Linked DNA regions of Sus scrofa. The protein of the gene in region 4 binds, or shares a complex with, the protein of the main gene of each other region. Links are inferred from orthologs where the notes say so. Each region holds a gene or a part of one and is shown on either strand. Other genes may lie near its edges. The genes, in order: EXOSC6, EXOSC4, EXOSC3, EXOSC9, EXOSC5 and EXOSC2.

Region 1 (4,659 bases), on a different chromosome or scaffold from region 4:
GCTGCCCCTTGGCCTGCTGGGCTCCACGGTAACCCTTATTGCCGCCCAAGACTGAGTCACATCTAGGCAAGACTGAGCTAGGTGGAGAAAAATGCCTTCTTCTGTCTGATGGTTCTGGGTTTCCAGGTCTACAGTAGCACTGAGGCCAAAGCTGCCAAGAAAGGGAGGTGGGGATGGGAGACTAGAAGGTGTTAGCATTTGAACCTCCTTTTCCTAGTCATACCCTGCCTCTCAGCCCTCTGGGCTAAAGTCCTGCTTCTGCTTCTTCTACAGGTAAAGAATCACGCATCAGACCAGGAGGGCAGCCAGTAGAAGGCTGGAACTCCCCCAGTCTCATCAGCTCCAGGCACTTTCTTCGGCGGTTCCTATCCCCTGCCTTGAGTAGCACCCACGCTGGAGCAAGCGCAAAGAAGTGGAGGCATGGCTCAGCCAGTCCAGCTGGGAAGCCTCCCCCCAGTGCTGACTTTAGCTTGAGGATCATGTTTCCAGATGACCATCTGGGGGCTAGCGGGGAAGGAAGGAGCCCTCCAAGTGCCCAGCACCAGCTCACCATTCTCATAAAGTTGAGGCCACTCCTGTTAAGAGGCAGCTGGAAAGGGCCCCCCTGGGAGCACCACCAGCCCTCTGACTACAGGTACCTCCCTAGCTGCTTCTCCCCGCCCCTCGCCAAAGCCTTACCTGTCCTCTCTGGGTCTCAGCAGGAGTATCACTTTTATGTTGTTTCTACCTTGTCTCTTGCTGGTGTGATCTTACATATTTCAGATCTGCTTTGGAAAAATATGTCACTGAGGAGAAATAAAATTTTCTTTTCCCTGGTCAGGGGTCCTTAGTGTAGTCTCAAAGCCTCACTACAGTCTCTCAACTGCCCCTTTCTAGAGAAGCTGAGCAGGCCTCGGAGACACACAAGCTCAGAAGCTCACACCAAGTCAGGGCAGAGGAGAACAGGCTGCCAGGCCTTTCTCCAATCCAGACCTGAGCACAAACCCACAGCGCTCCGGAGCCACACAGGGACGAGTCCACCCTTGTGGTCAGACAGGCCAGCTCTGCCCTAATGGAACAGGCTGCATCTAGTTTCCCAACATTCAGAAACTCTCACTCTTGGCAGTCAAATGTCCTCTTCCAGGAACCAAGACTGGACCAGGGACACCAGGACACATTTAAAATAATACTGTCCCAAGCCTTGAGTCCAAGAACACACTACACAGCTCAGGAGAGCCTTGCTCTATCCTGTACCAAGAAGAACAACAGAAGAACTTTTCAGCTATAAAAGAATTTCTGTTTTAGTTCAGATAGAAGTGGGAAGACACAACCCCCTTGTCTATTATCTCAAAAGCAGGCCCATTAGATAGGAGACAGTCACTAAGTGGCCCGCACAGGGTCCATCCCTCACAAGGCACTAGCTGCAGGTTCCCGTTTTTCAGGCAAGTCCACCTAAAGTCCTTTCCACCTTGGAAATCAGACTGCAGTAGCAGGTTTCTTCAACTGGGTCGTAGCTGAGCGCCAACCCAATTAGAAAAGTTTCTTAAACGATAGTTTATAAAACAAACAACAAAAAAAAAAACACAGCTGTCCGGCACATCAGTTCTGAGCGCACTTTCCCAGATCCTCTCCCGGGCTCTAGTTCTTGGCTCAGCGCCGTCTGCAAGCCGACGGCTCGGGTTCTTTCGGCGACAGCGGTAGCCTGCTCCTCGGCGTCGTTGCTCACACTTATGGTTCAAGGCGGCGCGGAGGCGCCCCTCCGGCGGGCGGCCCGTACCAAGCACTGCTGCAGAACTGGGTAGAGGCGCTGGCAGCCCTCGAGACCCAGGCGCACGGCTTCTGCCCAACTCTCTGTCGGGCCACCCTCCCCGCTGCCCAGCAGCCCGGCCACCTGGTTAAGCACCGGCATGAGCGCCACGGTGAGGCTGGCGGCGGCGCGTTCCTCCTCGAGCAGCGTGGGGTCCAGCAGCCAGGTGGGTGCGGGCCCAGGAGTGTGGCTTAAGCCGCAGCCCACCACCAGGTCGTACATCTCTATGCCCGCGTCGGCCAGGGCGAGCGCGGCGGCCGTGAGAGCGGCGGCCAACGCCGAGCCGCCGTCCTCGAGCAGCAGCGCCGACACTTCAAGCTGCGCGCGCGGGTAGCGACCCAAGCGCACGGCCGGCTCGAGCGCCTCCTGCAGCGCCAGCGCCAGCTCACGCTCCTCGCCGCCGCCTGGGGGAGCGCGGCGCCGTCGGCCCGAGAAGGGCGCGCGGCGGAAGTCGCAGAGCAAGCGGCCCCGCAACGCGGCCGGGGCCTCGCCGCCCGTTCCGGCCGGGCCGCCGCCGCGCTCGCCGCCCTCGGCCTGGCGTGGGCCGGACACGGCGCACAGCACCTTGGTGCCTCCAGCCTCCAGGTAGGCCGAGCCCTTGGCTTGACTCAGTAGCCCGGCGCGCGCGTACACGGGCCGCAGCCGCGTCGGGTCACGGGCGGCTGGCTCCTCGTCCTCGCCGACCGCGTACAGCTGCGGCGGCTGCGACTCCTCAGGCCCGCGGATGCGGCGGTGGTCCCCGGGCATGGCAGCACCTAGAGTACAAGCCACTTCCGCCCGTCCTGCCTCGCGCGCCTGCTCTTCCGCTCGCTTAAAGTCGCGCGCCCGCGCGAGGGCTGTCGGGATAGCAGCGGGCGGCGCTGCACTGACCCCTGCCGCCCCGGAGGGAGAACGGCGAGCGCTGTAGAGCCCCAGGCAGCAGCGAGGACACCAGGTGCTTCGTGGTTGGGTGGCTGTGAGGCAGGCCTGCAGAAGTGGGACCTAGACCTGCTTGGCCGACCTTTAGCCGATGTGAAATTGTAGTCATTTTAATTTTGCATTTATTTGTATGATTATTTTTTTGTTTTTTGTTTTCTTTTTTTGCCATCCCACAGCATGTGGAGTTCCTGGGCTAGGGATCAGCCAGTCACAACGAAAGCCACAGCTGTGGCAACACCACATCCTTCACCCACTGTGCTGGGCTGAGGATCGAAGGGTCCCAGCGCTCCCAAGACACCAATGATCCCACTGCACAACTGGAACTCCCGTGTGACAATTTTCTGTTTCCTACTGCCTTGCCTAAGAGTGCAGTGACCTTTTGTCTTGGTCACTGCTGTACTGTCAGTGCCCTGGCTGGCATAAACGCTTGCTAATGAATAAATGGAACTGTCTCCTGCACTGGATTGTGAGTTCTTTGTATCCCTGACACTCCATACCAGGCATGCAGCTGCTGCAGTCAGGGCCTCAGCACCTTCCTTCTACCTAGCTCTCATAACTCCGTGTGAGAACAGCCTTTCATTCCCAGGCCTTGTGACTGTTGGCCTCTGCTGCTTCAGCTGCCATAGACCTGCTTTTCCTCCTCTCTCCAAAGTCAGCAGGACTGAGAAATGACCCTCGGCCTCAGAGCCAGCCTGCTGTACCCAGTGGACTGGAAATCAGCCAGAGGGGGCACAACCAACTACTATACACTGCTGCTTCCAAACCTAGCTGTCTTCAGACTTGGGTGAAGGGGCAAACCAGGTCAGAGTCTCCATCCTCAATGTCCAACTTTTAAGTCCTGGAACCAGGAATGAGGGGACAGGCAAAGGAGTGGAGGGAAGCAAGTGATCTACCCTAAATGCCTCCTATACCAAAGAATGCTTCTGATCTACACCCAACCTGCACACCAAGAGGAAGAGGGATATGGGCCTAAGAAATGGAAAGGTTTTCCTACAAGAGGCTCCAAGGAGATTCTCTCTGCCTCCAATAATCCCTTGAATCACCTTCCATTGAATGATGAATGCCTCTCTTCATCTAACCCCCCTATTCTGTGGGCCACCTCTACATGTAAGTCCTGAGCCATTATTCCCAAAGTTCAGGGGTCTAGGGCTAGACTTGGCAATGGCTGCAACCAGAAGCCAGTTGGAGCACTTATTCTACAGACACCCGGGGAGCCACAGGCTCTCACACCAGGGGTGCCTATGGGTAGGATGTGCGGGAGGGAAGGGAGAGAAGCGATCATGTGGCATTATCAAGTATTGCACATGGTCCTTTTATTCTCTGCAGCAAAAAATGATTCCTTCCTGCAGGCCCAGAACCTTGGGTCTACAGAGAACTCTTTCTATAGACACAAGCTTGACAACGATAAACAGCAATCCTAGGGTAGTGGTTCTAACAGATGGTGCTGACGTGTTCAGGGCAGAAATGTAACAAGGGCATTGAGTCACAGGCTGGCTCCCAGGTTAAGTTACAGTTACTGCTGGGTTAGGAGGACAGATGGGGCTGCTTAAAGGTCCCAAGATTAAAATGTCCCTTGTGGCAGACGGAGAGCTCCTGGTTGGACGGATGCATCTGAGTGAGGAGACACCTCCCTGTGGAAGCCACCCTTCCCCCTCAGTTCTTCACATCTTCCAGGCGGAGCTGGGCAAAGGAAGTGGCCAGCTGCAGCGCCTCCTGCAGGCAGCCCACGTTCTTGCCTGTGGCCTGAGCGGACACATCTTTGCCACCACCTTTGCCATCCATCAGGCCTGACACCTGTTGCACCCACTCGCTGGCTTTCAGGCCCCGGTTGGCTATATTCTAGAAGAGAGGAAGGAGAAATGGGAGTCAGGACAGAGGTTGGGATGGAAGGAGACAAGGAGTGGGGAAGGAAAGAAAAAGAACAGGGGAGCCAGATAACCCATCCCGCCCTGGGT
Region 2 (5,447 bases), on a different chromosome or scaffold from region 4:
GGCGGCAAGTGGCAGAGGATGATGGTCATCGTGGCCTTGGACCAGGTGTGCCAGCAGGGCCACAGCTGGCTGACCAGCCCACAGGCCCTGGTATTCTAGAAGACCACCGCGTTGGAAGGATGCTGTGCCTGGGCCAATGAGGCCCTGGACCAACACAGCATGTCCGTTCTACTTGCGCTTCTCATAGCCTGAGGCTGAACCACTCCTGCTGAGAGGCAGGGTCCATACCCTCCCCTGGAGCCTGCCAGACCTTTATGACTGTCCTGACCCACAGAGTCTTGCAAGAGGGACACTACACAACTTCTGAGGCAGGGTGTCAAAATACCATGTGTGGCCACCTTGTCTCAGGGGGTCACCTTGGTGTCACGCTCAGAAGACGCCCCCGCTGAGGCTGAGGCCAGGGGTAGGTGTGCCATCTCATAGCCCCAGTGAAGTCCCGCTCAACAGCCAGCATCTACCACCAAAACGTGCAGGAGGAAGCCTTCAAGACAATGCTCGTCGCCATCTGCAGTGACCGCAGGCAGGCTGCCCAGCTGAGCCCAGGCAAGCCCCAGAACTGTAAGACATAGGGACATATTTAATTTTTGTTACTTGAAGGCACTAAGGCTCTGCAGCAAAGGATAAACAGACACACAGGTCCATGCAATCCCTTTCTGGAAAGGATGAGGGTATCTGCATTCACAAATGGAAAAAGGAGGCCCACTTCATTGCCTATGGGAGCTGGCCGTGATGGGAGAGAGCACAAGACAAGTGTGGACCTTGCTGGGATGGGGCCTGTGCCCCTGCCTAGGCCCTGTGAATGTCGCTTCCTGTTGGTGAGTGTTGCAACCCTGTCAGTTCATCCTTCCATGTTCAAACAGAAAGCATGGGACCTGGCTTCCTGGGTACTGCAGAGGGGCTGAATAACGCAGCTGGAGAAAGGCGGGTGAACTCTGTTAGCGACCTTGCCCTCAGTGACACAGAGGTACCTGGAAACAGGAGGCACCTGGGGAGGAAAGCACCTCATTTCTCCCTCCTGTAGACCCGTCAGCAGTTCCAGTGGACTTAACTGACATGAGATGCTGGAATAGACCAGGTCAGGAAATGCAAGAGGAATTACACGATGTCAGTAACAGTCTGCAAGCTGGCAAGGATTAGATTAAAAAAAAAAAAAGTAACACTTTCTGGGTGGGAATTCACAGCCTTCACCCAGAAAGCCTTCCATTCCCCAAGCCCGTGGACACACACCCACTGCCCCCAACTCGGCAGTTACCCGTACATCCGCCCCGCAAGTATCAAGCAAAAAAATCAGAGCTCCGCAGGATTAACTGGACAGACTTTGTATTTCATATATATGACCATGTGTACGTACAACATAAATCATGTGCTTCCTTTTTAAGTGAACAAATGTAAAAACTGTACAAAAGAAGAGAACAGAGAGTCTCAGATTGGGAGAATAAATGCATTTAAGGTCGCAGAACTTCGAAGCCATGAGAGACAAAACGATGCTTCCATTCCAGCAGCCGCTGCTCTCACCCGCGAGCCTCGGAGAGACTCCAGGGGGTCCAAGAGAAGCCAAGGCGCGTCAACTGCGCTGGGGCTGGTGGCGCGCAGCGCAAAGCCCTGGCGCCCAGGACAGCGTGGGACGGGGGGGGCTCCCAGGGTCGTGGGGACCGCCTCGAGGATGCCAGCACAGCCGGTCTCCCCCGCGGGCGGCCGCGGAGAAGCAAGCCCAACACTTGGCAGATTTCCCTCCGCCGCCACCCCCAACGCCGAAACTCCCCGGGCGCCCAAAGTGGGGCCGCAGGGAACCCCGCGAGAACCGCAGTCCTCCGAGCCGGAAGTGGACGCCGGCGCCCCGGAAACCGTGGGCCCGGAAGGTCGGAGGTGGGGCCTCAGGGCCGCCGGGAACTGTAGTTCTCCGGAGAACGGAAGCGGGGCTGGCGGCCGGGCGGCATGGCGGGGCTGGAGCTGCTGTCGGACCAGGGCTACCGTGTGGACGGGCGGCGCGCCCGGGAGCTGCGCAAGATCCAGGCGCGGATGGGTGTGTTTGCGCAGGCCGACGGCTCGGCCTACATCGAGCAGGGCAACACCAAGGCGCTAGCGGTGGTCTACGGGCCTCACGAGGCGAGTGGGCGCGCGCGTTGGAATCCGGCGGCGGCGGCGGCGGCGGCGGGGTGGGCGGGGATGGGTCGAAAGGTGAGGCCTCCGTGTAGGGCCGCGGCCGAAGCCCTCATGGTGTGATGCGCGTGGTCCCTGCCTGTCTCGTCGGCCCCTGTTCCCTGCGCCCTCCACTCGTCTTTGCTCCTCCTCAAGGCGCCAGGCGTGCTCCCCCTCGCTTCGCTCCCTCACTTCTCAGCTCTGCTCCGACGTCACCCTCCGCGGGTCACCTCCCCAGACCACCTTACTCACCTGTCAGTTCCTCTCCCCTACAACCACACACTTCCCTGCCTTTCTGCATCCGCCAGCTCAGACGTCGGTTGAACTTATTTCTCACGTTTGTGTCCCCACTGGAACATAAACTCCGTGAAGACAGGGACTTTAAAGAAAACCGCCTGGGTGTATGGCCCCTCCAGCGCTGGAGGCATAAGGATGAAAATAAGCATGACATGCTTGCAGAGTAGAAAGGCTGATGGTGAGGAAGATGGGAAATAATTCCAAATGAGACTGAGGGAATTCTAGGGAGGCAAGAACTCAGAGCTTTGTAGACAGGGACAACATTTAGGATTTTTTTAATCTCACCCGTGGTGGGAAGCCTTTAGAAGATACGTGACATATGTGGCGTGCAGAAGAGACAGATCAGACCTGACGTTTGGAGAATGGCTTGGAAGACATGAGTCAAGGATGGAAACAAGGAGGCCTGTTAAGAGAGATGAGATCCAGAGTGATGATGGCTTAGATGCTGGCCCAGCAGCCCTCCCTTAGGTCGTGTTTTGGAGGTGAAGTAGTTGCTTGTTGAGATGCTGGAGGTAGAGGGAAGGACGGAAGGAGGCAGGGAGGCCAAGGCTCAGGACATGCAGCAGAGGAAGGGGTAGCATGAGCTGGGAGGAGTGGGCCTGGCTCACGTGTCCTTCCCCCCCACCCTAGATCCGGGGCTCGCGATCACGAGCCCTGCCGGACAGGGCCTTGGTGAACTGTCAGTACAGTTCTGCGACCTTCAGCACAGGTGAGCGCAAGCGGCGGCCACATGGGGACCGAAAGTCCTGCGAGATGGGCCTGCAGCTGCGTCAAGCCTTTGAGGCAGCCATCCTTACACAGCTGCATCCTCGCTCCCAGATTGATATCTACGTGCAGGTGAGCAGGCAGCAGCCGTCAGCTGCGGAGGGGAGAGAGAAGGAGGGGGTGGGGGTCGGGCATCAGCAGCCTAATGGACTGACACCACTGGGGGGGGGTGTCACTGCAGGTGCTGCAGGCAGATGGTGGGATCTATGCGGCTTGTGTGAACGTGGCCACACTGGCAGTGCTGGACGCCGGGATACCCATGCGGGACTTTGTATGTGCCTGCTCAGCTGGCTTTGTGGATGGGACAGCCCTGGCAGACCTCAGCCATGTGGAGGAAGCAGCTGGTGGCCCCCAGCTGGCCCTGGCCCTGCTGCCAGCCTCAGGCCAGATCGCACTGCTGGAGATGGATGCAAGGCTTCATGAGGACCACCTGGAGCAGGTGCTAGAGGCCGCTGCCCAGGCCGCCCGAGATGTGCACACCGTACTGGACCGTGTGGTCCGGCAACACGTACAAGAGGCCTCGATCTTGCTGGGGGACTGAGTACACGGCCGCCCAGGCCCAGAATAAAACTCACACGCGCTCAGTCCACTGTACTTTGATCTCCCCAAAGCACCTCCGTGCCCTCAGAGCCCGGCCCGGAGCTGGCTCCAGGGGCGACAAAGGGTGCTCCCTACGCGTGAACTGCGTAACCCTTGCAGCCTCAGGATTCCAACCCTGAGGAAGGGGGCGGTGGGTGTCCCTGGGTGAAGAGAGGCGCTTGTGTCATGAAGGGTTCAAGACAGCTGAGCAATGTGGCAAGGCCTGGTGTAATGAGCCAAGCCCTCATACTGTGGAGTCTGATTCTCACTGCAGCACATCCAGGGCCTTGAGCACAAGTGCTGAGGGAGAACTCCTTTGGCTATGGGTGCCACCAAGGTGATGGGGGGGCACCTCCCACATCCTCTGGATTATGTCTTGGACTGAATGGTCCCTTTCCCCCCAGAATCCCTTGAGCTTGTCCTGTGGCTTATCTTGAGCTCTGAAAGTACAACAGCGACATGATCTTGGCTCTGGCCCTTTCTCAGTCTGACCCAGACACTCCCCAACCCATGGTTGCACCTTCCTTCCAAATCTCTTTCTGCCTCCTGCTGTCAGACCTGCCTGAGCCCTGACCACCAGCCCCTGCTGTCTGAACTCAGGGACTACTTTTCTAATATCCCAGATACCTGGCCTGGACAGGCGGGCTCCCCATTTTCTATTCCACACACCCAAGCTCCTTTGCAACCCCTTTTGGCCAGCAGTATTCATGCACCTTCCTTCCTGTGGTCATCTGGCCCCACTGACCTTGGTTCTGGGCACAATACGTGATTCCACTCGGGCCCCTACTGCTGTTTTTTGGTGACCGACATTCACAGGAATAGGTCCGCCATCGCCTTGGCCTCAGCTCACAGAAGCCCCTTCACTTCCCGCGAGGGCACTCAAGCCTGTCGTTGTCAGTGGCAGCAGCATCTTCAGACATCTTCCAGTGTCTACGCTCTGGTCGCTGCTTCCGGTTTTCCTCCCACCTGCCCCATTCATCATCCCGATTCTCCTTCGAGCCGAGCGTTCTCGACTAGTCAGTCTTCATTGCCCTCCGGCGCCACACGCCGCGGTCGGCCGGCCTGGAGGCTGCTCCCGTTCTGCGCCAGCGAGGAAACGCAGACGCGGGGGCAACTCCCTTCCCAGCAGCTCTGCTCGGGGCTTGCGGGGTGGGGGCGCGACGGGCGGCATCGCGCACGCGCAGCGGCGCGAGGCCCGCCGGGACCGGAAGTGCGGGTGGGCGCGGAGCCCCGCGGGGACCGGAGCGGCGCGCCGGGCCGGGTGCCGTAGCTGGCAGCGGGGAGCGCGGTCCCGGAGCCGCCCGGCCCTGCCATGGGCCTCCTGTCGGACCCGGTGCGCCGGCGCGCGCTCGCCCGCCTGGTGCTGCGCCTCAACGCGCCGCTCTGGTGAGGGGGGTGCCTGGGAGCGGGGGCCGGAGGACCGGGGCTCGAGCTGCCGGGGCCCCTCCGGGTGCTCGCGCCAGTCTTCTCCCGCCCACCGGCATCACTCGGGGCACCAGGCCTGGGGCTCAGCCCTCCCGTCCGGCGTCCCGGGTGCTGGGACTCGGGATCCAGGTCCCACAGATATGACGCCTCCACCCCCCCAGTGCGGAGGTAGAGGCTACGGGCTGGCATCTCGGAGCCTGCTAATGCTCCAGCGGCCCCCTCCGCCCCTCTCCCCGCAGTGT
Region 3 (5,627 bases), on a different chromosome or scaffold from region 4:
ACTTCTTTTGGGACACCTATCCTGACTCTTATCTTCTTCCCACATAGAGGTAATCATTTCACCCATTGTACTCTCTGGGCTTTTACCCTAATCATATTGTTACAGACACCATAGCACTTGGTATTCTCCTGTGGCCACACTGAACTCCCCCAGGGCAAGGACCATGATTCAGCCAACTTCCTGGTTCAGAGCAAATGCTCAACTAGTCTTGTAGACTGAAAGCTACAAAAAGGCTCAACTTTACCAATCAACAAAGCAAAGCAGCCATGAGATACCACTTTAACAACTTCTCAAATAGCAAAGATTTCTAAAGAGGAAGTTTTGGGTAAGAGTCCAGAAGGCCAAGGTTTGGTTCAACCTTTCCAAAGGGCGATTTGGTAATTTTCCCAAGGGAAATACTGAGAAATGCAGAGGTAAATCACAGAGGCAGTCAAGTGCAGCACCACCTCTACTGCACTGGCTCCAGGTCAACAAGGCCCCCAGGCAAGAAGCAGGCCTAATCCACTCGGTAGGATCTGCCAGAAAGGCTCAGGAAGGAGGCCAAAAACAAGGTACGGCCTAGGAGCTAGAAGGTCCGTGGCCGATTGCACGGGCCCTGGTCTCCTATGCATTCCCCAGTCACTGAAGCCACTTTCACAGCCAGAAAACATTGAGCACGCCTTTCGGAAACAAGAACTTCGCAATCGCGGCCCAACGCCTCACTTAGTGCCGCCGTCAGGGTTCGCGGCTCCTAGCCGGACTCCGCACACTTGCTAATGGCCTCGGCTTCCCACGCAACCGCATGCAGGGCCTGCCCGCTGCTCCCATTTCGCGCTTACTCACCAGTGGCCACACGGCTCCGCGGCGGCGAAGCACCTACGTGGTGACACGCAGTGCCCAGGCCAGGCTGCCTTCCCGCCTCCCGGGTGCCTTCCAGCGTCCCACCCTCTGGGCACGCCCTTTTGGGAGGGTCGCGCAGAGCACCGCCCACGAGGTACTTTCGACCCGCCCCTCCCGGCCTCAGCTTCCTGTCTCAGGTAACCACTCTTTTCCAGGCCTCTGGTCTGTGGACTTAGGGATGTGCGTGCCCACGTGCCACCCCCACAGAAGTGCCCTTGTTAGGACTCCTCAGCCGTATCTGGGCTGAGTTCCTGACAGAGACTCCTCTACTGATGCCTGAGAGGCCATCCAGGGATCGTTTCCTGACCTCTCAGGCTGTAACCCAATGTCACTGAGCACAATTCAGGCATGGTCTTGGCCCAGTCGTGATTGAGTTAGTCTTGGTCACCTAATACCTACTGGATTCAGGTCTTCAGGAACTGGGTTGGAGTAGGGAGGAGAGAAAAATAATCTACACCATCCTTTCTGCAAAGGTAACCAACCAGATTGTTTTTACAGCAACTGACTACAAAACAAACAACAAAAATTACATTTCAGTTGACCTCTGGTATCTTATTTAGGTGTCTCACCAGTATCTTACAGAGTATGGAGAGTATATTAGAGGTAATCTCTTTTAAATATGATCAGAGCCACACCCTCCCAAATCCCCAGGAGCTCTGACTCCTACGATTATTTGGCTAAGGCTAATTGGAGGTGCCAGTTGACAGAGGAAACGGTGATTTAAAATTTTTTTTCTTTTTTTGGCCGCACTCGAGGCATGTGCAAGTTACTGGACCAGGGATGGAATCTGTGTCACAGCAAGGCCCCGAGTGAGAACTCTGGAAAATGATTTCAAGTGAGAGTCCTGAAAATCAGAAGAACAGAGCTGATGTGCTATTGATTTGGAATTCAACTGCTTTTCACATAGGCAACTAAAGCTAGCTCCAGGGAAAGCAGTAGCAAGGATTTAACTGCCATTAGCGATTTTTCTAAGCCAGCTAGGGGTAGCGCAATTATGTGGAAATATGCATGCAATATGTATCTATTCGAAGGGAGGAAAAAAGCCTAGGTAGAAATGCACATCAAAATGTTAACATTCATTCTTCCTTTTATTCACCGGGTATTACCTACTTCGTGCCAGGACCTGCGCTACAAACAATGGGAACTAGCTGACAATCTAGCAAGGGAGACAAACGGGCGGCAAGACTAACACGTTTTATGTTCTTATTCTTCTCTATGTTTTCCATTATGTGAATAGATATATTCTCAAGCAAAACCCAAAAAGATTTCATACTGAAAAAGAAAACACTTTTCCTCGTAAAGGTCCTTTTGAGGGCAGAGTCAGAAAGGAGAGCCAACTCAAGAAGGACCTCTGCTCAGTTCCTAAGGCTCCCCGGGAACCAAAGGTGGCGCCGTCTCGTATCGCACCGTCCGATCCGAGACACCGGAAGTGGAGGCTCCGCGACAGACTCAAGCTGCGCGTTTCTCCTGCTGACCACCGCAGGATTAGCGGCCGGCTAGAGACAATCATAGCTACCTTGGGGCAACCTCTGAGAGCACAGAACTGTCAGGCATCACTGCAGTAGTTTCAAGTCCCACAGGCCTGTGCTGCCGGAAACGGAAAGCTTTGGGTGGCCTGGCGATTGGACGCGGACCCGGAAGCCGGAAACTGTTTAGTTACACTCGCTATGGCTGAGCCAGCCGCTCATGCTGCGGAGTCCTTTGCTGGTTGCAGGGCGCGGGCAGCCCGTACAGTGCTGGATCAGGTGGTGCTCCCGGGTGAGGAGCTGCTGCTGCCTGAGCAGGAGGACGGAGAAGGCCCAGGAGGTGCAGGGGAGCGACCGCTGCGCCTGAACGCCGGAGCGCGCCCGCGGGTGCGCGTGGTGTGTGGCCCGGGCTTGCGGCGTTGTGGCGACCGGCTGCTGGTCACCAAGTGCGGCCGCCTCCGTCACAAGGAGGCCGGCGGCGGCGGCGGCAGTGGCGTCTATTGGGTGGACTCGCAGCAGAAGCGGGTGAGCCGGGTCTCCGAAGGGGTGGGACGGCCGGGAGAGGGCTGGGAAGACTCCTCGAGAGAAATACAGAAGGGACCCTGGAGCCCTCTTTTAAGGCTAGCCTACAGCTACCGTAGTCTTGTGCTTACCCTCCGCAACTCCTTTAGGGGGACTGTGAACAACTGTAAAGTGACCCGAGATGGGCGACCAGGAAAGGATTTTGGAGATCTTGTCACATAAGGGGATAAGGGCTGTGAGACACGTCATTATCTTCAAAACTCCAAAAGTCAAGGAGCCGCAGACTTGTCTTTGAGGGTCCCAAAGAACCAGGCTCAATGAGTAGATGTCACAGGGACTTATGCAAACAAACCACTGAACTCATGCAAACAAAAACTAGGGAGTTCCTGAGGATACAGGAACAGAAGGATACAGAAGAGTTGTGGAATACTGACTTAAGTGAACACATTATACTGTTTAGAAGCTGCAATCTTTAGAGCTTATCATGTGATTGCTTTTCTTCTACTGAAGGTGGCATGTGATCAAGTTTGTTTTAAGATTTGTATTGATTGGTAAACTTGGATTTCCAAATATTTTCTAAGTATTTCTAATGATAATAAAGTAACCACTAAGGACTTGCTGAAGATGTCTTCAAAATGACTGTCATTTATGGTCATTCATTCTCTCGTTGTGTTTTCTTTTGTAGTATGTTCCAGTCAAAGGAGACCATGTGATTGGCATAGTTACCGCTAAATCTGGAGATATATTCAAAGTTGATGTTGGAGGGAGTGAGCCAGCTTCTTTATCTTACTTGGCATTTGAAGGTGCAACTAAAAGAAACAGACCAAATGTTCAGGTAATGACAGGACCTTTGGTTTCAAAAGTAAGAAAAATACCCAATCCCTAAACACTCAGATATCCAGAGGGCTATCTTAAGTGTCTTATTTTCCCAGTTTCTATAGGATGACTTATCACTCCAGGCTTTAAGAGCCCTTTGAGATGCTCGCTCTGGGACCAGACCTCATACTTATTTTTCATTTGCTCCATCAGGGGATGTTTTCATCTCTACTGAGTTGAAAGATTATATCTGTTTTCTCCATTGTTATTATGTCTATATGCCCTGGACAAGGCAATAGGCTCAGGGAGGAAAGAGGGGAAAGTGGTGCACATTGCCATGTCAGTTGTCTATCCCAGTGTGAGTCCCAGGAGTAGCATCTCACAGCTTGTCAGATCACTTTCCCAGCAATCCCTTTTTTGTAGCTGACAGAGGTGCAGTCATGTTTTCATTTGGGGCTTTTCAGGTAGCATGGTCACACTCTTCCTGCCAATCTAAGTCAGAAATTTGGTGGCTTCTTTGCTCTTCTCACTCACCTCTCTTGTGTCTTTATTATTTATTTATTTATTTATTTGTGTCTTTTTAGGGCCATGCCTGTGGCACATGGAGATTCCCAGGCAAGGGGTCCAATCGGAGCTACAGCTGCCAGCCTACACCACAGCCACAGCAACGCTGGATCCTTAACCCACTGAGCGAGGCCAGGGATCAAACCCTCAACCTCATGGTTCCAAGTTGGATTGTTTCCCATGCACCACAACGACGGAACTCCACCTCTCTTGTGTCTTTAGTTGTTTAATCTTATTGATCCTTTTTGAGTCTTACCTCTGATCTTCCACATGTCCACCCCTTTATCTCCACTTTGCAAGTTCAGGCCTTAGCTATCTCTCTTCACTGACTTAATCTGTGACCTCCTTATTAACATCCTTTTTGTACACTTTTGCCCCTCCATCCAGGCTTTTAAGAACTGACACAACTCTTTCTCCCCCTACCCACGCCACCCCCAAAAGTTCTTTAAAGCTTACGTATTTCCTTGGCTGATACTCAGAGGTCTCCTCTCATCCATAGTGATATTCTCCATGTGGCCCTGCCTGAATCCCACCAAACTATGTAACAGCCCTGTACCTTTGCCCATGCTCTTTCCTCTGCTGGGTTGCTCTATTCCCAACACATGCTTGTCTTTCAAGACCTAGGCTGAACACCACCGCCTCTGTAAAAACACCCCTGATTTTCAGTCACTTTTTTCTTACTGGATTCAACTAGAATGAAATTTGTTATTTATATTGTACATCCCCACTACCCTCTGAGACCAAGGAGGGACCTCTCTGGTTCCTATAGTCACCAAAAATAGTAAGTATTTAACTTAAAAAGGTTGACTCCCCATTTCCTTAGTTTCATCATTTTGAAGTTAAACTCTTTGAGGTTTTTAAAATAAGTCTTGCATGGAAAAGTGTCAATGAACTACCAGTGTTGTGTTTTGCTCTGAATAATTTGCATGCCAGGAGTTTCTATAATTCCTTAGAGCAGTGCTATGCAATAGAACTTTTTGTGGTGATGCTACTGTTTTACATATGCACTGATTAGTATGGTAGCCACTAACCACACGTGGCTGTTGAGCATTTGTAGTGTGGCTAATGCAACCAAGAAACTTGAAATTTTAAATATATAATTTTAATTATTTAAATGTAAGTTTAAGTAACGCCCATATGGATAGTGGCTACCATATTGGACTGTGTAACCCTAGAGGGTGCTCTCTGGCTTTGTGATGTCTCAGTCTGGAGATTTTCTGGTAGGTGAAGGATAAGGTACATGGGTTAATTTTGCCTTAAGACTCAACTCTTAGAGTGACTGTGGGAACCTGGAGTGTAGTCAGTTTAGCCACAGAATAGTAGGTGGCTGGCATTTCCTATGAAAAAGAACCAGCAGCATCTATAGCATAGTTTACTGAA
Region 4 (4,415 bases):
CTTTCATTCTCATCTTTTCTGACACTGCATCAAGTAGCCATATTTTTGTTATTCAGTTTTCTTAACTTGCTAAGTGTTTCTAAACCTGTGCTGTGGACTCCTGGAACTGCCCAGATTGGAGAGGGAATAGAAAACTCCTGGGGTGATCTTGAAGACTCTGAGAAGGAAGATGAGGATGAAGGTGGCAGTGATGAAGCTATCATTCTTGATAGTATAAAAACGGACACTGGAGTAGAAATCTCTAATATTGGAAGCCAAGGTATGTGAAACTGTATATCTCCTGATTATAGGGATCTTATTTGTATATTAGCAATTGCTTTTTTAGAGGGGCTAAATAACCTGTGATTTAAACAAAAAGGCAATATTGTAACATGTATTAGAGAAATACTGTCCAAACAGAACTCTTTGCTGCAGTGTAAGAAATGTTCTATATCTACACAGTAGTGTGTTAGCCACAAGGCACATGTGGCTATTGAGCAGTGAAATGTGGCTTGTATGGGGAACTCAATTTTAGTTGCTTTAAAGTCACATAGGGCCACATGTGGCTACCACATTAGAGCAGCATTAGAACATAGAAAATTCTAAAAGTACATGAATACTGGAGGGTCCTGATGTTCTTTGCATTCTTAAAAGTGTAGAATTAGTGAAATTGTTCTCACCTGTAGATATTTTAAAGGAAACCAAATTCTGACTTGGTTCATACTAGAAAATCATGAACTGTAAAAAGAGAAATCAAAGGTGCAGTTACTCAATCTGGCTGAGAAAATAGTGAAGGTGGCATTGTTTAGGTTATGTATTGCACATTTCTGCCTGCCTTCAAGGAAAGAGATTATTGCTTGTAAATATTATTGAGGACTTCCTGGAGGGTTTTGTAAGGGGAAAAAAACCCATTGATTGGGAATCTTATTTAGGTTTCCCAGTGGTTACATAGTATTATACATTACACTGACACCAGCTGCTTAAACACAGGGTCTGTGAGTGAATCTAAATCTGCTAATAAGGTTAATGGCTAGACATTTAGTTACTGGCTAGATGAAATAACGTTCAGTGGAGAATGCAAATTATTCTCAAATACAAGTATGTATTGGAAAATGGGTGGAGTGTAAATTGGGACATTTCTGAAGGGATTTGGCAAAAACATCTTTTGGAATGTATGTGCCTTTTTGTGGGGGCGGGCTGTGCCCATGAAATCAGCAGATTCTAAAAAGTAACTCAAGCAGTTCATTTGGCATACTGACTTCAGTTTCCAAATTGGTTCTATAGAAGAGATCTTTTTGATTGACATGTATCAAAATGTTTAGATAACCAGAATATTTTTTAGTAAATCAGTAAGCCTCCACACAGAATTGCTTGGGCTCTTTATCTTAATAGAGATAGTTGATATAAATGCATGTGGAAATTTTCCAAGGAATTATTTATATTCTTTTCTTAACATTTCTTTAAAGATGCCCCAATTGTACTCTCAGACAGTGAAGAAGAAGAAATGATCATCTTAGAACCAGATAAGAACCCAAAGAAAATAAGGTAATAAATTTCAAGTGTATACATATACTCGACTCTTTATTTATTTTTTGCTTTTTAGGGCCGCACCCACAGCATATGGAGCTTCTCAGGCTAGGGGTCAAATTGGAGCTACAGCTGCATGCCTACACCACAGCCACAGCCTGAGATCCGAGCCACGTCTGCCATCTACACCACAGCTCATGGCAACACCAGATCCTTAATCCCCTGAATGAGGCCAGGGATTGAACCTGCAACCTCATGGTTCCTGATCGGATTTTGTTCCCACTGTGCCATGACAGGAACTCCCTACGTACTCACGACCTGCTAAGAGGCTTGCCCTCTAGTTTTATTATCATCTTATCCTACTATAAACAGTAATCAGCAATCCAGATGTTTTTCCTGTGGTTTCTTTAGCCTGAGATTTATAGACATTAGGACTATATGTCTATAAATTCTATAGAACAGCTTGGATGCTTTTCAAGGTTACAGTATTCTGTCACAGATGGCAAATGTTATATCCTACTGGAAAAAGTAAAGTTTGAATCAGCACACTGATATAAGACTGGTAAATCATCTGTGGAGTCAGCTCCCAGTACTAACATTGTTAAATTTACTTTGTTCACAGAACACAGACCATCCATGCAACACAAGAAAAAGGACCAAGTAAAAAACCAGTGAAAAAGAGAAAAAAGAAGAGAACTGCTAATTAAAGTACACATAGTTGTATATTTTGTGTATATAACTATTAAAAAGGTATTTATTCAGTGTTAACAACCTTGGGTGTTATTCACAAATCCATTATAAAATCTAGCTACTTCTTTATACAGTTTTTTCTTTCTTCCCCCTCCCCCCCCCCCCACATTATGCTTTAAAATATACCTCTGGAGAACTTTTAAAACAGGTTTTAAATAGCTATCACTCTGTTAGGTCAAGTGTATAAATTGTTGAGTGAAAAAGCATTTCATAGCATGTGTACAAAGGCTTGGAAGAGTCAGCCAGTTGGCCCAGTTCCTTAGGGGAGTGAATGTCAGCACCTGTCTGTCAGAGAGAAGGCTCCCCAGCCCCTCCCATGGTTTAGTAAACCATGGTTTTCCTGAGTGAAATCTTAAAGTCAAATTTTACTTCAGATTAAATTTGACTTACAAACCAAGTTTTCCAAATCAATTTATTAATTCTTAATATCCTGGCAGCTGGCATCATTAATACTTTAACAAAAGCCACTTAAAATTAGCCAAATATCTAAGATAGTTACATGTACAAAAGATATACAAATTAAAACCATTTAAAAAGTGATAGATACCATAATTTGTACTTGACCATAACTTGACCATACTTGACCATATTCAGAAATGATTGTAAAATTAAAACCTAAAAAAAAAATCTGTACACCATATACTTAGAGTGATTTACATCTTAGAAAACAAAGGCAGTCTTTCACTGTTAAATATTTAGTGTCTCTGGTGGGTTGAGGAGAGAAACACCATGATACCTGTAAGTAGGGAAAAAAATCCATTTTTAGTAAATATTCATTGCATGAAGCAGATCATGAAATGATACACACTAGGAACTCACAGATGCTAGTTCTGTCTACTTGAATTAATGGTTATAAAATCATTGTCTAGTACCCCAAATTTGCATGCATGCTCATTCCTCTCCCCTCTTCCTCAAATACAGGACAGAAACCTTTAACTACAACCTATTCAAAACACATGGCTTGCCAAGAGAAGAGCTGCCCGGGGAGGCTGTGCCTGATTTGTGAATCCCCTAATAAAGTTAAAATGTCAAGGGTTTCTGAACCATACAATAGCCTGGAAAGCAAGCTTTTTTAGTATCCATTGTTGTTCATTCTTACTTGGAATTTTTGTATTTCTCTCTTATTGACTGTTGTGCATGCTGTGGTGCTCTGAGGTAGGTCTGGTGAAGGTCCAGGAGACAAGGCTTAAGCGTTTCCAGCGTATATCCAGTCTTTTGTACTAATGATTCAGGCTATAGGAGGGAGAGAACCATTGAGTCTCATTTTTAGAAAGAGACACTAAACACAAATTAGTAGTTGGCATTAAGCTTGAGTTTTGTTAAACTTCATTACTAACACCCCCCAACTAACATCTTCCAGTTTTCTCAAGCTCTTTTTTTTGGACTTCAGTTTTTACTATTTTCCCTGCCAAATCCTTTAAGCACAAGCACATGTTTCTAGTCCAAGTAATAACTAAGCTTTCAACCTAACAAATAGATGCTTTTAAACAGGTACAAGACATTTTATGCTTTAAACAGTGTTGAACAACTCTCTCAGTTCAGTACATCTGGACAACCATCAGTTGTCTATGTGGCATAAACATTTAAGCCACAAGATAGATGTGTAAAGATGTTGTAATACATACCCAGCTTTGTCCCGTGACTGTGTAGAGTGCTAAATGAAAGGCTGCTGCAGCAGTAACTGATGGCAAATACTTTAGGTACGGGTCAGCATCTATCAAACTTAACTCTCCCAAAAACTGGAAGAAAAAAAAAAATACATTTTATGATCCTAAGAGCTCTGGAATTCAAACTTGAAATCCTTGCGTTCTGGTCTTACATTTTTTTTTTTCTGTCTTTTAAAACTGCTCTAAAGCAACCATAGGGGAAAAAAAATCCATAGCCACATCTTTAAATATATCCACTATCAGTGTTTTTGCTTCATTCCCATCATGTATAGTTCCTCTAATAGCTCTTAAATCAACTCTTTTGGCTATCATTTCCGGGGAAGTCATCGTCATAGCACCACCCCTAGTGCTTTCTCAATTTATATTCCTTTTTGCTGGTGATAGGCTTTCTTTCATACTGTGGCACTAGTCTATCCCTGAAGTACTAAATCCCTTGACCAAGGCTGGATAATGAAACTACGGTTTACCCCTAATTGTAACCTCAGGATCTTC
Region 5 (5,499 bases), on a different chromosome or scaffold from region 4:
CAGCCCTTTTCCCTCATCTCCAAAGTCAGTTTCTGTCCCCTTTCAACAGCAGCCAAAATCCACTCTGCCCTCGTCATGGGCACATCCAGTCCTTGGCACTCTTCTGTGTTCTTCACAACAATCTGTTGTTAGCATTTTACTGGCTGGCGGGGGTGGGAGTGGGGGGGATTAGGTCCAGAGAGAAGCAGTCCCTTGCCCAAAGCTAAAAAACTAGAAAACAGCAGATCAGGGATATTGGTCCCACATGGTCTAGCTTCAGAGCACACCTTCTTAACTACTTACATGTGAAAACAATCCACAGCTCTTCTGCAGCCCACTGCCTCTCTTCCCCTTAAGAGGGGCTCCCAATTAGATTTCTGCTGTGAAAGCTCTCATCAACCTAAAGGAAGGCTGACCCTGCGACAAGAAATGAGGCATTTCTTACGTGTTCCTAAGCAATGTGGACAAGTGCTCTGTCTGGACCTCTCTCCCTCCTCGTCCACCCTCATTAGCTGAACAAATACTTACTAATCATCTCCTTTGTAATGATCAAGACAGACAAGGTCAACAGCCAGGTACTGCATCAGGGGACCCAGGATCAAACGACTTTTTTACACGATTCATTTTAAAATCAGAGCAGGAGTTCCTGTTGTGGTTCAGTGGGTTAGGAACCGGTCATAGTGTCCATGAGGATGCAGGTTCCACTCCTGGCCCCGCTCACTGGGTTAAGAATCTGGCGTTGGCCCCCAGCTGCGGTTCCCATTCCACCCCTAGCCTGGGAACTTCCATATGCTGCAGATGCCCCAATAAAAAGTAAAAAAACAAACTAAAAAAAACCAGAGTTGAAGCAAAAAGGCACTATAAAAGCCTGTGCTGGGGTATCTGCTCTCTCTTCTCTTCTTGGAAGGGGGAGTCTTTCCCAAGAAGAAAATCTTTCCTTTGTAAACGCAATTTCACTCTCCAACCCCTGAGGAGAAAGGTCACACTTTCCCCCCATGTCCTCCAAGAGGCCTCCCCGGGGCATTGGTGGCAACTAATAAGAAACGCCCTCCCTCACTTTCTCCACGTTGTCTTCCTCCCTGAGGGTCCACAAAGAAGCTGTCCCGCTTTGCCTCTCCTAAGGAAGTGAAACTTCTTCCCTTGAGGGTCCGCTACAAGATGTTTCTGCAGCCCTTCTCCCTTCAACCGCCCTCCATGTACTCCCTACAGGGACGCCACACTCTGAAGAAGGAGTTAACATTTCTATACCTTCTCGGGTACCTCCCCAGTACTCACAGATCTAGCCAGACCCCGAGCCCCAAGCCGCCGCAGAAGCAGGAGGCCAGCCTGGCCCAAGCCTTGACTGCGCTCCCAAACCCTCGCCACAGCCACCGCCAACGCCATCTTGACCATTAATACCTCAGAGTAGCGTCCCCCTCCTTGGCGAGACTGGGGCTGCCCCTTCAGGAGCCTGACTCAAATACCAGGATCGCTCTGCCAAGAAACCACCTGCTACTAATCCTGCGGTCTTTAGGACACATATATAGGTGGGTAAAATAATCCAGATTTCCCCAAATTACTCCGATCGCTTCACCGGAGTTATTCCTCTTAACAGGCAAAGCAGAGGGCAACTGAGCTCGGCTTCAGGGTTTCAGGGCCCCGGGGCCTCGGGTAGGACGAGCTCATGCCAAGGCCCGCCCTCTCTTCCCTTCTGTCCAATGGCTTTCCTGGACTCTCTAGGCGGGAGTAGGAGGGACCAGATTGTTAGTAAACGCAGAGACACGTGCGGGCGCGGATCCCGGAGGGCCCCGCACCCAAGTTGGCGCTTGCTCATTGGGTACGCAGTCTGTACGCAAGCGCGCGCTTCTGGGCGGAAGCGACAGTCCCTGCTGCACGTGGGCTCCCCGGCGATGGAGGAGTCGATGCAGACTGAAACCAAGGTACGCCCCGAGTCTGGAGCAGAGTCTGGCCCTCGGAGCCCCAGCTGTACTCTCCGGCACTTTGCCTGCGAACAAAACTTGTTGTCCCGGCCCGATGGCTCTGCCTCTTTCCTGCAAGGTAAGAATTTACCCACGTCGTATTTGTTCTCGTGGGCGGGTACAGTGTATTGTGTTAGCTGGTAAATATCTTCTTGGACTGATGCAGTTCTTGCCGGAGTGAATGGTACTGCATATGCCAGTAGACAAATAGAAGGGTGAAGATACCTCCACTCTGGTAAATATGCCTCAGGATGAGAGAGGGGCAGACCTTCTCTTAAGAACGAATACTCCAGGGACTTCCCTTCGTGGCTCAGCAGTTAAGGAACCCGACTAGGATCCATGAGGATGAGGGTTCGATCCCTGGCCTCCCTTAGCGGGTTAAGGATCCGGCGTTGCTGTGAGCTGTGGTGTAGGTCGCAGACACAGCTCGGATCTGGGGTTTCTGTGGTTGTGGTGTAGGCTGGCAGTTGTAGCTCTGATTAGATCCCTAGCCTGGGAACTTCCATGTGAGGCCTGAGAGAGCAAAAAAAAAAAAAAAAAAAAAAAAGAACGAATACTCCAGAATAGGGGAAATCTCACCGTGTAAAAAAAGTCCTCCTTGACTAGGTTCCTCCCACACATGCACTCTGGATTCATCTATCCCTGGTTGAGGCAAACCTGTTCTTTTGCGTAAATACCTCGTAGACTGGCAAATCACCACTACTGATTTTTTTTTGTTTGTTTTTCTTTTTTCTTTTTTTTGCTTTTTAGGACCGCACTTGCAACATATGGAGGTTCCCAGGCTAGGGGTTCAAATGAAGCTGTAGCTGCTGGCCTACATCGCAGCCACAGCAATGCGAGATCTGAGCTGCATCTGCGGCCTACACCACAGCTCACGGCAACCCCAGATCCTTAACCCACCGAGCGGGGCCAGGGATTGAACCCATAGCCTCATGGATACTAGTTGGGTTCTTACCCGCTGAGCCAAAATGGGAATTTCGTTGTTTTATATATACGGAGTTGCCAGGCTGGGGATCACATCCAAGCCCCAACTGTGTCCTTCCTATGCCCTTAGAGTGGCAACGCTGGGCCAGGGTTCCTGCCAATTCCTTTGTGCCACAGCGGGAATTCCTGAACACATGTGTTTTTGCTAAGTACTGTTCTAAGCACTGAGAAATCATAGCTAAAAAGGTTTTTTGTGTTTTTTTAATTTCTTTTTTTATATTTTTTTCTGTTTTATATAAGTTTTTAAATTCCTGCCCTAGAAGAGTTTCCATTTCCATCAGAGAAACAAGTGATAACTAAGTAAAACTTAGTAAAAGGCTATGGAGGAAACTACCGCAGGAAGGAAGAATAGGGCGTGCCAGAGAGGGGTGCAGTCTCAAATGGGATGGTCAGGGAAGGCTTCGCTAAGATGGTACCATTTGAATAAAGATCTAAAGGTAAGGGAGCAAACCCTCAAGACAGTAAGAGAAAAGCATTGGGGACAAGGGTAAAGGCCCTGAGACAAAAACTTGCCTGGTGTGTTTGAGGAGCAGTCAGGAGAGCAAAGTGGCTGCAGCAGAGACAGGAGGTCAAAGAGAGGTACGGAGGACTGCCCTTCATGCAAGTTTCTTAGCACTTAAATACTGAGCCTCTTCCATGTTCTAAAACCCCAAAGCCCAGGACCCTGGAGCAGAGTCCCTCAAAGGCCCTCAGAAGTGTGTCTCACATGCTCCTGGCCTCAGAATCTCTACTGAGGTTAAGAATTCCGAGCCCCAGGAGTTCCCTGGTGACTCAGCAGGTTAAGGTTCCAGCATTGTTACTGCTGTGGCTCAGGTCCAAGCTGTGGCAAGGGTTTGATCTCTGGCCCAGGAATTCCATGTGCCGTGGGCACAGCCAAAAAAAAAAAAATGCTGAAGCCTCAGAACCCACCCACACCAGCTAAGTCTGGCCCTCTACACTTTTTAATCCACTACAGCGGCAATTCTGATTGCAGGCCAGCGTTTTGAAGCTGTGCACCAGCTCCGTGTCCTCCCACTGCAGGTTGCAATCCCCGCTGCACATTAGAATGGCCTGTGGAGCTCACAGGCTGCCGGTGCCTGAGCGCCAGCCCTCAGCAATGGTATTAGGCTCTCTGAGGGGAGGGGCCTGTGCATCAGTGTCTTTTAAAGCTCTGCAGTGAGTCCAATGTGCATTCGTTAGTGATTCTTTTTTTTTTGCTTTTTGTGGCTGGGCCTGCGGCATATGGAAGTTCCAGGCTAGGGGCTGAATCGGAGCTACAACTGTTGGCCTACGCCACAGCCACAGCCACATTGGATCCTTAACCCACTGAGCAAGGCTAGGGATCGAACCCACATCCTCATGAATATTAGTTGAGTTCTTTAACCTCTGAGCTGCAGAGGGAACTCCCTGAAAAAAAATTTTTTTTTTTTGTCTTTTTTGCTATTTCTTGGGCCGCTCCTGCAACATATGGAGGTTCCCAGGCTAGGGGTTGAATCGGAGCTGTAGACACTAGCCTACGCCAGAGCCACAGCAACGCGGGATCCAAGCCGCGTCTGCAACCTACACCACAGCTCACGGCAACGCCGGATCGTTAACCCACTGAGCAAAGGCAGGGACCGAACCCGCAACCTCATGGTTCCTAGTCGGATTCGTTAACCACTGCGCCACGACGGGAACTCCTGAAATATATTTCTTATTGGGGGTTATGGTCAGAAAAATTTGGAAGCTACTGTTTTAGTTCAGCCTCTTCATTTTTGCAGATGGTAAAACTGAGGCCCAGAGAAGTGAGCAAAATCAGCTGAGGTTACAGAGCCAGGAGGAAATGAGCAGGAGTTAGAACCCACCCCCACCCCCCAGGTATTTATTGGGTTCTCAGGTATCCTTACTGCTGCAGAGTTGAGAGCTGGGCTAGGGGAAGCTGTGGGAAGAGAAGTTGGGACCAGCAGCAGTAAGAGGGAGGGAGGTTAGTGCAGGAGGGACTTCCCGGTGAAGTTAATAACAGCTTAAGTCTGTTGAGCACTCAGCAGGGGTACCAGGCAGCTCCTGAGCCTTTTTCCTTTAAGTGGATCATCTCATTTAACCCTCAACAGCTGTGAGGGAGGAGGTATCGTTTGACGGATGGGGAAGTGGAGGCAGAGAAACGAAGCAAGTGCCCCAAGAGTCACTGTCAAGGAATGGTGGGCCAGAGCCGGGGTGACGTGGGGAAGCCCGGCCACCGGCTCTGTGCCCACACTGTTAAGTGCCGCGCGTTGGGCCCCGGAGGCGGGGGAGACGTGGGCAAGGCCTCCTGTGCTGTCTCCCCAGGGGATACCTCCGTCCTGGCAGGCGTGTATGGCCCAGCCGAGGTGAAGGTCCGCAAAGAGATCTTCAACAAGGCCACACTGGAGGTGATCCTGAGGCCTAAGATCGGGCTGCCGGGTAATTGGGCCTCTCGCCTGGGGTCTCCCTCACTGCGCTCCCCGCTCTCCCCTCCCCCCACCTGCTCCTCTGTCTGTCTCCAGCTATTTCTGTCTCTTTTCCCCAACAACATGCTTCCAAGTCTGTTTCTGTCCCTTCTCCGCCCCCCTCCCACCCCCCCATCGCCTCCACTTTCCCCTCA
Region 6 (4,733 bases), on a different chromosome or scaffold from region 4:
AAGATGACTCTCGGTCTCTTGTCCACCGTCTGTTCTCCCGTGTAATCATCCCCACTTTCTAATCCAGGGCTGTCCGAGAAGCTGGAGCCAATGAGGACATGGGCTCGAGCCTCTTATGGGCCAGAGAGCACTGTTCTCTTCCGCCTTGACCGTACACCTGTCTTGCCCACGAAATGTGTGCCACTGGACAAGGGGACCGACTGAGGGCTGGTACAGGTCCATCCACCCCCGGTCTGCCGGTCAACTCAAGGCCCACCCCGGCTGAGGGCCGTCTACTTCCGACCCCGGCCCGTGACGGGCAGCACGTGCAGGGCAGCGTCCCCTTGCCTGCTTCGAGGACGTGAACGTGACTGGCTGCAGCCCTTCTACTAAGGACAGAGGATTTTGTTCCGCTCAGAAAACGAACGCTCACCCAGTTAAAGCCAAGGGATGAATAATCACAGTCTGTTTTGCAAAGTATGAGGTCATTTAAAAAGCAGCCTGGGAGTTCCCACTGTGGCTCAGCAGAAACCAGTCTGACTAGGAACCATGAGGTTGTGGGTTTGATCCCCGGCCTCGCTCAGTGGGTTAAGGATCCAGCGTTGCCGTGAGCTGTGGTGTAGGTTGCAGACACAGTTCAGATCTGGCATTGCTGTGGCTATGGCGTAGGCTGGTGGTTACAGCTCCAATTCCACCTCTAGCCTGGGAACATCCATATGCCATGGGAGCAGCCCTAAAAAGACAAAAAAAAAAAAAAAAAAAAAAAAAAGTAGCCTCAATAACATCCCTTTAAAATAGAAATGCAGTGAAATTTCCCATTTAGAGGCTCAAGCAGCAAACCCATCTTTCCTAACAATCTCCATCTTACTGACTGGCTGTCTGTCTCAGGGCCATCCTGTTTCAGCAGCCCTCCACCTCCCATTGTTCCCAGGACTATGTCTCAGTGCAAATGCAATGCAAGGCTGCCGTGCCCTCAACAGATGGCAGGGGCACAGGGCCACAGGGCATAGGGGCTCTTCTGCCAGAACATCTCCTCAGTAGAAAAGGTCAAGTGCTGTCGTCCTTTGCAATGCTGCCAACGGTGTCACTCAGCGTCGGGGACAGCAGTGCACTAACGCCTAGCTGCTCGGCTTCTTTAGTGGGCATTCCCGAGAGCGCAGGGGAATTGGAAATGGATGTGAAGTCAGTTGGCACATGGGAATGGCCGGAGCCCAACTTACTTTTCCGTATTTGAGACTCCTCGTGTGCAGAGAGACGGCTCCGTCAGAGAACACTGCCTGGACCTCAGCCTGGCCGGTTCCGGATGAAGGAACAAACATTCTCACGTCACCTGCCTCCCTGGCCCCCCCCTCCAGCCTTTCCTCTCAGGTCCAACCTCCTGCCCGAGGCTGTAGACAGACCCAGAGGTCACACTGCTGTGACCATGGAGGTCATGGACAACCTGACACCACCTTTTCTCCTTCCTGGGAGAAATGCTCCCATCGTTAGGAAAATGCGAGCTAGCTTAGAGCCTGGGCCACCGTAAGTTACAAGACCCAAGGACAGGACGGAGTGGCAGCAGGTCCGAACAAGAGCTGGAGGGTCGGCCAGGGTGAAGGAAGTGAGGAAAGGCTGCTGCAGAGCCCTTCACACTCGGTCAAGGACTCAGGTCCCTGCCGGGATGATGCTTCCCCTGTGGGAGGCCTACAAGGGGAGCCCCGCGCCCCAGCTCCCTAGCAGACAGGAAGACGCGGAACGCAGCAGGCAGGATACACTGATAAGGTCCCCTTCCTGCAAGAAGCCCCTCATCGCCAGCTCGTCCTCTGCTGATCTTCTCCTCTGGAATGCACAGAGACAGGGCCGCGTTACTGAAGGCAGGTCCAGGAGGGAGCTCTCGCCACCCTCCCTTCTCTCTCACTTCCTCTGAGGTCTCTGAAGCCAGCCACTGCGTTCACAGGCCGAGTGGGTAACCTGTGCCACTCAAGGAAGATGAAGCGACGGCCACTGCTTTCCATCTTATAGGCTTCCCACAGCTCCTCTTCTCCTTCCTCTGGATAAAACTCCAGCTCCTTCCATGATATTCCAGACCCGCCCAATCTAGCGCGGCCCGCCCTGCAGTGCCTTCCTCCTGTGGCTGCCCGCCCCGCTCCAGCGGACCCACCACCTCCGGCTTCACTCGATCTCTGCTCACGCGTTCCAATTTCAGACTCCCTGAACTCACTGCTGAAATCCTATCCAGCCTTCGAGGATCAACTCCAGCACCCCTCTTTCCTTCGAGCTCTTCTCAGTGAAATTATTCACTCCTTTTGTACGTGGTTCATCCTGGGGCTGCCAGGAACCGTCTCCCAGACCCCCTCTAGTCTGTAAGCTCTCCCAGACACTCGGTCCTGCCTCTTGATCATGCCCTTCTCCAGAAAGCCTGGCACAGCGAGCCTCTCTAGAGAAGATGTGGGACTGAAGATAAAGCTGAACTGTGGCCTTTTACAAAAGGATGCAGCTTAGGGACTGTGGTCGTCTGAAACGACCAAAAGCCACTGAGTGCCTGAAAAGATAATCTAAACATGACTTTTCAAGTCACACCTTCTGGGAGCGAAGCTGGTATACCCAGAAAAGGAAAGAGATCAGCCCTCTTTCAGGATCGGTCCCCCGGGGACCTTCCAGATCTTAGCGTACACCATTTGCTGCCTAAGCTGGGAGCCTGGGCCAAGTGAAAAGCCTCCGTGTACATCCGGGCAGCACAAAAGTGGTCAAAGTGGCAACTTCAGTGGAAAGCAAGTACGTGGGTGAAGCAAAGGACCCCAGAGCCCTCGCCAACCAACCGTCCAGTCCCACCGGAGACCCTCACCAGCTCTCCTCCGGGAAGGTTCATGGATGACAGAAGCAGGACCGAGTCCAGCCTGGAGTTGGTCTCCACTTTCCACCTCTTCTGTTGGACCTACAGACAAAGAAACCCCGAACCTGGACACATACCCGGGGGCCAGAGCGCACACTGTAAACAACTGATAACCCTAAACGTAACCAACCAACCATTTACACCAAAACACGGCACATGCCTCGGCCAGGTAACCGCATCTAGAACGAAGATCCCATTCACTAGGTCACCAGCTTGCTTCTACTTTGGGAAAACCAACCTGGCAGACTTGACTTACCTCCGTGATTCTCCCCACTACAATGTCCCCCACTTCACCATTATATCTGAAAGATGAAACAAAAGGTCACCCAGTAGTGAAAAGACTTTAACATGAGACCAAATCCCACTGGGAAGGTCAGTTAAACCAGACTGGGGGGGCGGGGGGGCCTTGGTTAGGCACCACATTTATTTAATTTATCTAACTACACTCTAGACTCATTTTTAGGAACTGATAGCTTCAAAACATTCCTATACATACAGCCTCTGTTAACCATTCTTTTTTTTTGACCACACCTGCGGCAGGCATATGGGAGTTCCCAGGCCAAGGATCGAATCCAAGCCACTGCTGCGGCAATGCTGGATCCTTAACCCACTATGCCCAGCCGGTGATCAAACCTGCACCTCAGCAGCGACCTGAGCTGCTGCAGTTAGATCCTTAACCCGTGGTGCCATAATGGGAACTCCTTCTGTTAACTAGTCTTAAACCATTTATCGCAAGTAGTTCCCTAAGCCTGAAACCCTTTCTTTGTTAACTGCATGAACATGGTAAGCATGGACTCTTTTCTGCTGGGCTCTGGAACCCAGAGGGGACAGGACATCACCCAAACCAGTCTACTCGCTGTCTCACTCACCCACTGGCTGCCAGTCCCTCGTCCCGCTTCTACTGATGTAGTGTTCCAGACTGAAGGCTCAGTCCTTGGGCCTCCGCCCATTTCAGCCCACACTCACGTGCTGAGCTCATCCAGCCAGGCGGCTTTACATACTCCCGAGGAGCGTACCCCTCCCCTCAATTCCAGACTCTAGTCGACTGCTGGCTACCCAGCACCTCCACTGGTGTGAATTTGCAAAACACGCCTAAGACAAAGCTTTCCAGCAGCCCCCCTCCCTCCCCCACAGCAAACGGATCCGCTCCTGGTTGTCACCATCTCAGGAAATAGCAACTCCACCTGCTCAAGCCAGAATCCCTGAAGGAACCCTTCATATTTCTCAGTCTCAATCTCTCTTTCTCTCATGTTGCAGAACAAGTCCAGCAATGGAGCCTACCGCCTCTACCTTTAAAATACAGGCAGAAAATAAAAGGCAGCCAAATTGGAAAGGAAGAAATAAAACTATCTTTTCTTTTCTCACAGACATGGTCTTCTAGTACAGAAAATCCCAAGAATACAAAATCCAACACTTTCTCATGATGAAAACACTCAGAGCACAAAATACATGCCACCGTGGCCACTTCTGCCCACTCCTACTGCCATCACCTTAGTCTAGGTCAGCAGTGCCCTACCCCTGCCCCGTCCTCCCACAGCAGCCAGAGTGATTTCATCTAAACAGAAGTCAGACCAGATCCCTCCTCTGCCCTACCTCCTCCAGTGGCTTCCTAGATTTCACAAAGTACAAGTCAAAAATGCTTACCGTGTTGAGTTCCCTGGTGGCGCAGTAGGTTAAGGATCTGGCATTGTCACTGCAGCAGCTCAGGTCGCCGCTGTGGTGCAGGTTCAATCCCAGCCCTGGGGAATTTTCACAGGCCGCAGGCTCCTACCACTCCTGCCATCCCCCACCCCGCCTGCTCCCTCTGTTCCAGCCCCACTAGCTTATATTCCTGGGCTACCTTAACTGAGCCCTTCTAGGAGGCTCTGTGTGAGTAGGAGGC

The links.
Region 1: EXOSC9 (region 4) and EXOSC6 share a complex: the UniProt entries of both Homo sapiens proteins name them as parts of the RNA exosome core complex. The link is inferred for Sus scrofa from reciprocal best matches to the Homo sapiens genes EXOSC9 and EXOSC6.
Region 2: EXOSC9 (region 4) and EXOSC4 share a complex: the UniProt entries of both Homo sapiens proteins name them as parts of the RNA exosome core complex. The link is inferred for Sus scrofa from reciprocal best matches to the Homo sapiens genes EXOSC9 and EXOSC4.
Region 3: EXOSC9 (region 4) and EXOSC3 share a complex: the UniProt entries of both Homo sapiens proteins name them as parts of the RNA exosome core complex. The link is inferred for Sus scrofa from reciprocal best matches to the Homo sapiens genes EXOSC9 and EXOSC3.
Region 5: EXOSC9 (region 4) and EXOSC5 share a complex: the UniProt entries of both Homo sapiens proteins name them as parts of the RNA exosome core complex. The link is inferred for Sus scrofa from reciprocal best matches to the Homo sapiens genes EXOSC9 and EXOSC5.
Region 6: EXOSC9 (region 4) and EXOSC2 share a complex: the UniProt entries of both Homo sapiens proteins name them as parts of the RNA exosome core complex. The link is inferred for Sus scrofa from reciprocal best matches to the Homo sapiens genes EXOSC9 and EXOSC2.

What each region holds. Positions count from the first base shown.
Region 1 is NC_010448.4:13,294,341-13,298,999, forward strand, and holds EXOSC6 (exosome complex component MTR3), read right to left. Parts: upstream 2,603-4,659; 5' UTR 2,534-2,602; coding exon 1,715-2,533; 3' UTR 1,251-1,714; downstream 1-1,250. Other genes in the region: RNA-binding Raly-like protein, read left to right, coding at 274-312. UniProt on the Homo sapiens protein: Non-catalytic component of the RNA exosome complex which has 3'->5' exoribonuclease activity and participates in a multitude of cellular RNA processing and degradation events.
Region 2 is NC_010446.5:617,789-623,235, reverse strand, and holds EXOSC4 (exosome complex component RRP41), read left to right. Parts: upstream 1-1,899; 5' UTR 1,900-1,935; coding exon 1,936-2,106; exon of another isoform or gene 2,107-2,839; intron 2,840-3,066; coding exon 3,067-3,273; intron 3,274-3,382; coding exon 3,383-3,742; 3' UTR 3,743-4,243; downstream 4,244-5,447. Other genes in the region: GPAA1 (glycosylphosphatidylinositol anchor attachment 1 protein), read left to right, coding at 5,093-5,166, 5,445-5,447. UniProt on the Homo sapiens protein: Non-catalytic component of the RNA exosome complex which has 3'->5' exoribonuclease activity and participates in a multitude of cellular RNA processing and degradation events.
Region 3 is NC_010443.5:238,538,032-238,543,658, reverse strand, and holds the start of EXOSC3 (exosome complex component RRP40), read left to right. Parts: upstream 1-1,902; 5' UTR 1,903-2,546; coding exon 2,547-2,870; intron 2,871-3,552; coding exon 3,553-3,702; intron 3,703-5,627. UniProt on the Homo sapiens protein: Non-catalytic component of the RNA exosome complex which has 3'->5' exoribonuclease activity and participates in a multitude of cellular RNA processing and degradation events.
Region 4 is NC_010450.4:102,264,548-102,268,962, reverse strand, and holds the end of EXOSC9 (exosome complex component RRP45), read left to right. Parts: intron 1-74; coding exon 75-259; intron 260-1,445; coding exon 1,446-1,524; intron 1,525-2,128; coding exon 2,129-2,213; 3' UTR 2,214-2,256; exon of another isoform or gene 2,257-2,277; intron 2,278-2,688; exon of another isoform or gene 2,689-2,943; coding exon of another isoform or gene 2,944-2,992; intron 2,993-3,177; 3' UTR 3,178-3,307; downstream 3,308-4,415. Other genes in the region: CCNA2 (cyclin-A2), read right to left, coding at 2,944-2,992, 3,356-3,489, 3,882-3,995. UniProt on the Homo sapiens protein: Non-catalytic component of the RNA exosome complex which has 3'->5' exoribonuclease activity and participates in a multitude of cellular RNA processing and degradation events.
Region 5 is NC_010448.4:49,378,073-49,383,571, reverse strand, and holds the start of EXOSC5 (exosome complex component RRP46), read left to right. Parts: upstream 1-1,824; 5' UTR 1,825-1,868; coding exon 1,869-2,016; intron 2,017-5,182; coding exon of another isoform or gene 5,183-5,204; coding exon 5,205-5,318; intron 5,319-5,499. Other genes in the region: BCKDHA (2-oxoisovalerate dehydrogenase subunit alpha, mitochondrial), read right to left, coding at 1,255-1,371. UniProt on the Homo sapiens protein: Non-catalytic component of the RNA exosome complex which has 3'->5' exoribonuclease activity and participates in a multitude of cellular RNA processing and degradation events.
Region 6 is NC_010443.5:270,750,807-270,755,539, reverse strand, and holds part of EXOSC2 (exosome complex component RRP4), read right to left. Parts: intron 3,154-4,733; coding exon 3,108-3,153; intron 2,894-3,107; coding exon 2,804-2,893; intron 1,798-2,803; coding exon 1,732-1,797; intron 1,269-1,731; coding exon 1,200-1,268; intron 1-1,199. UniProt on the Homo sapiens protein: Non-catalytic component of the RNA exosome complex which has 3'->5' exoribonuclease activity and participates in a multitude of cellular RNA processing and degradation events.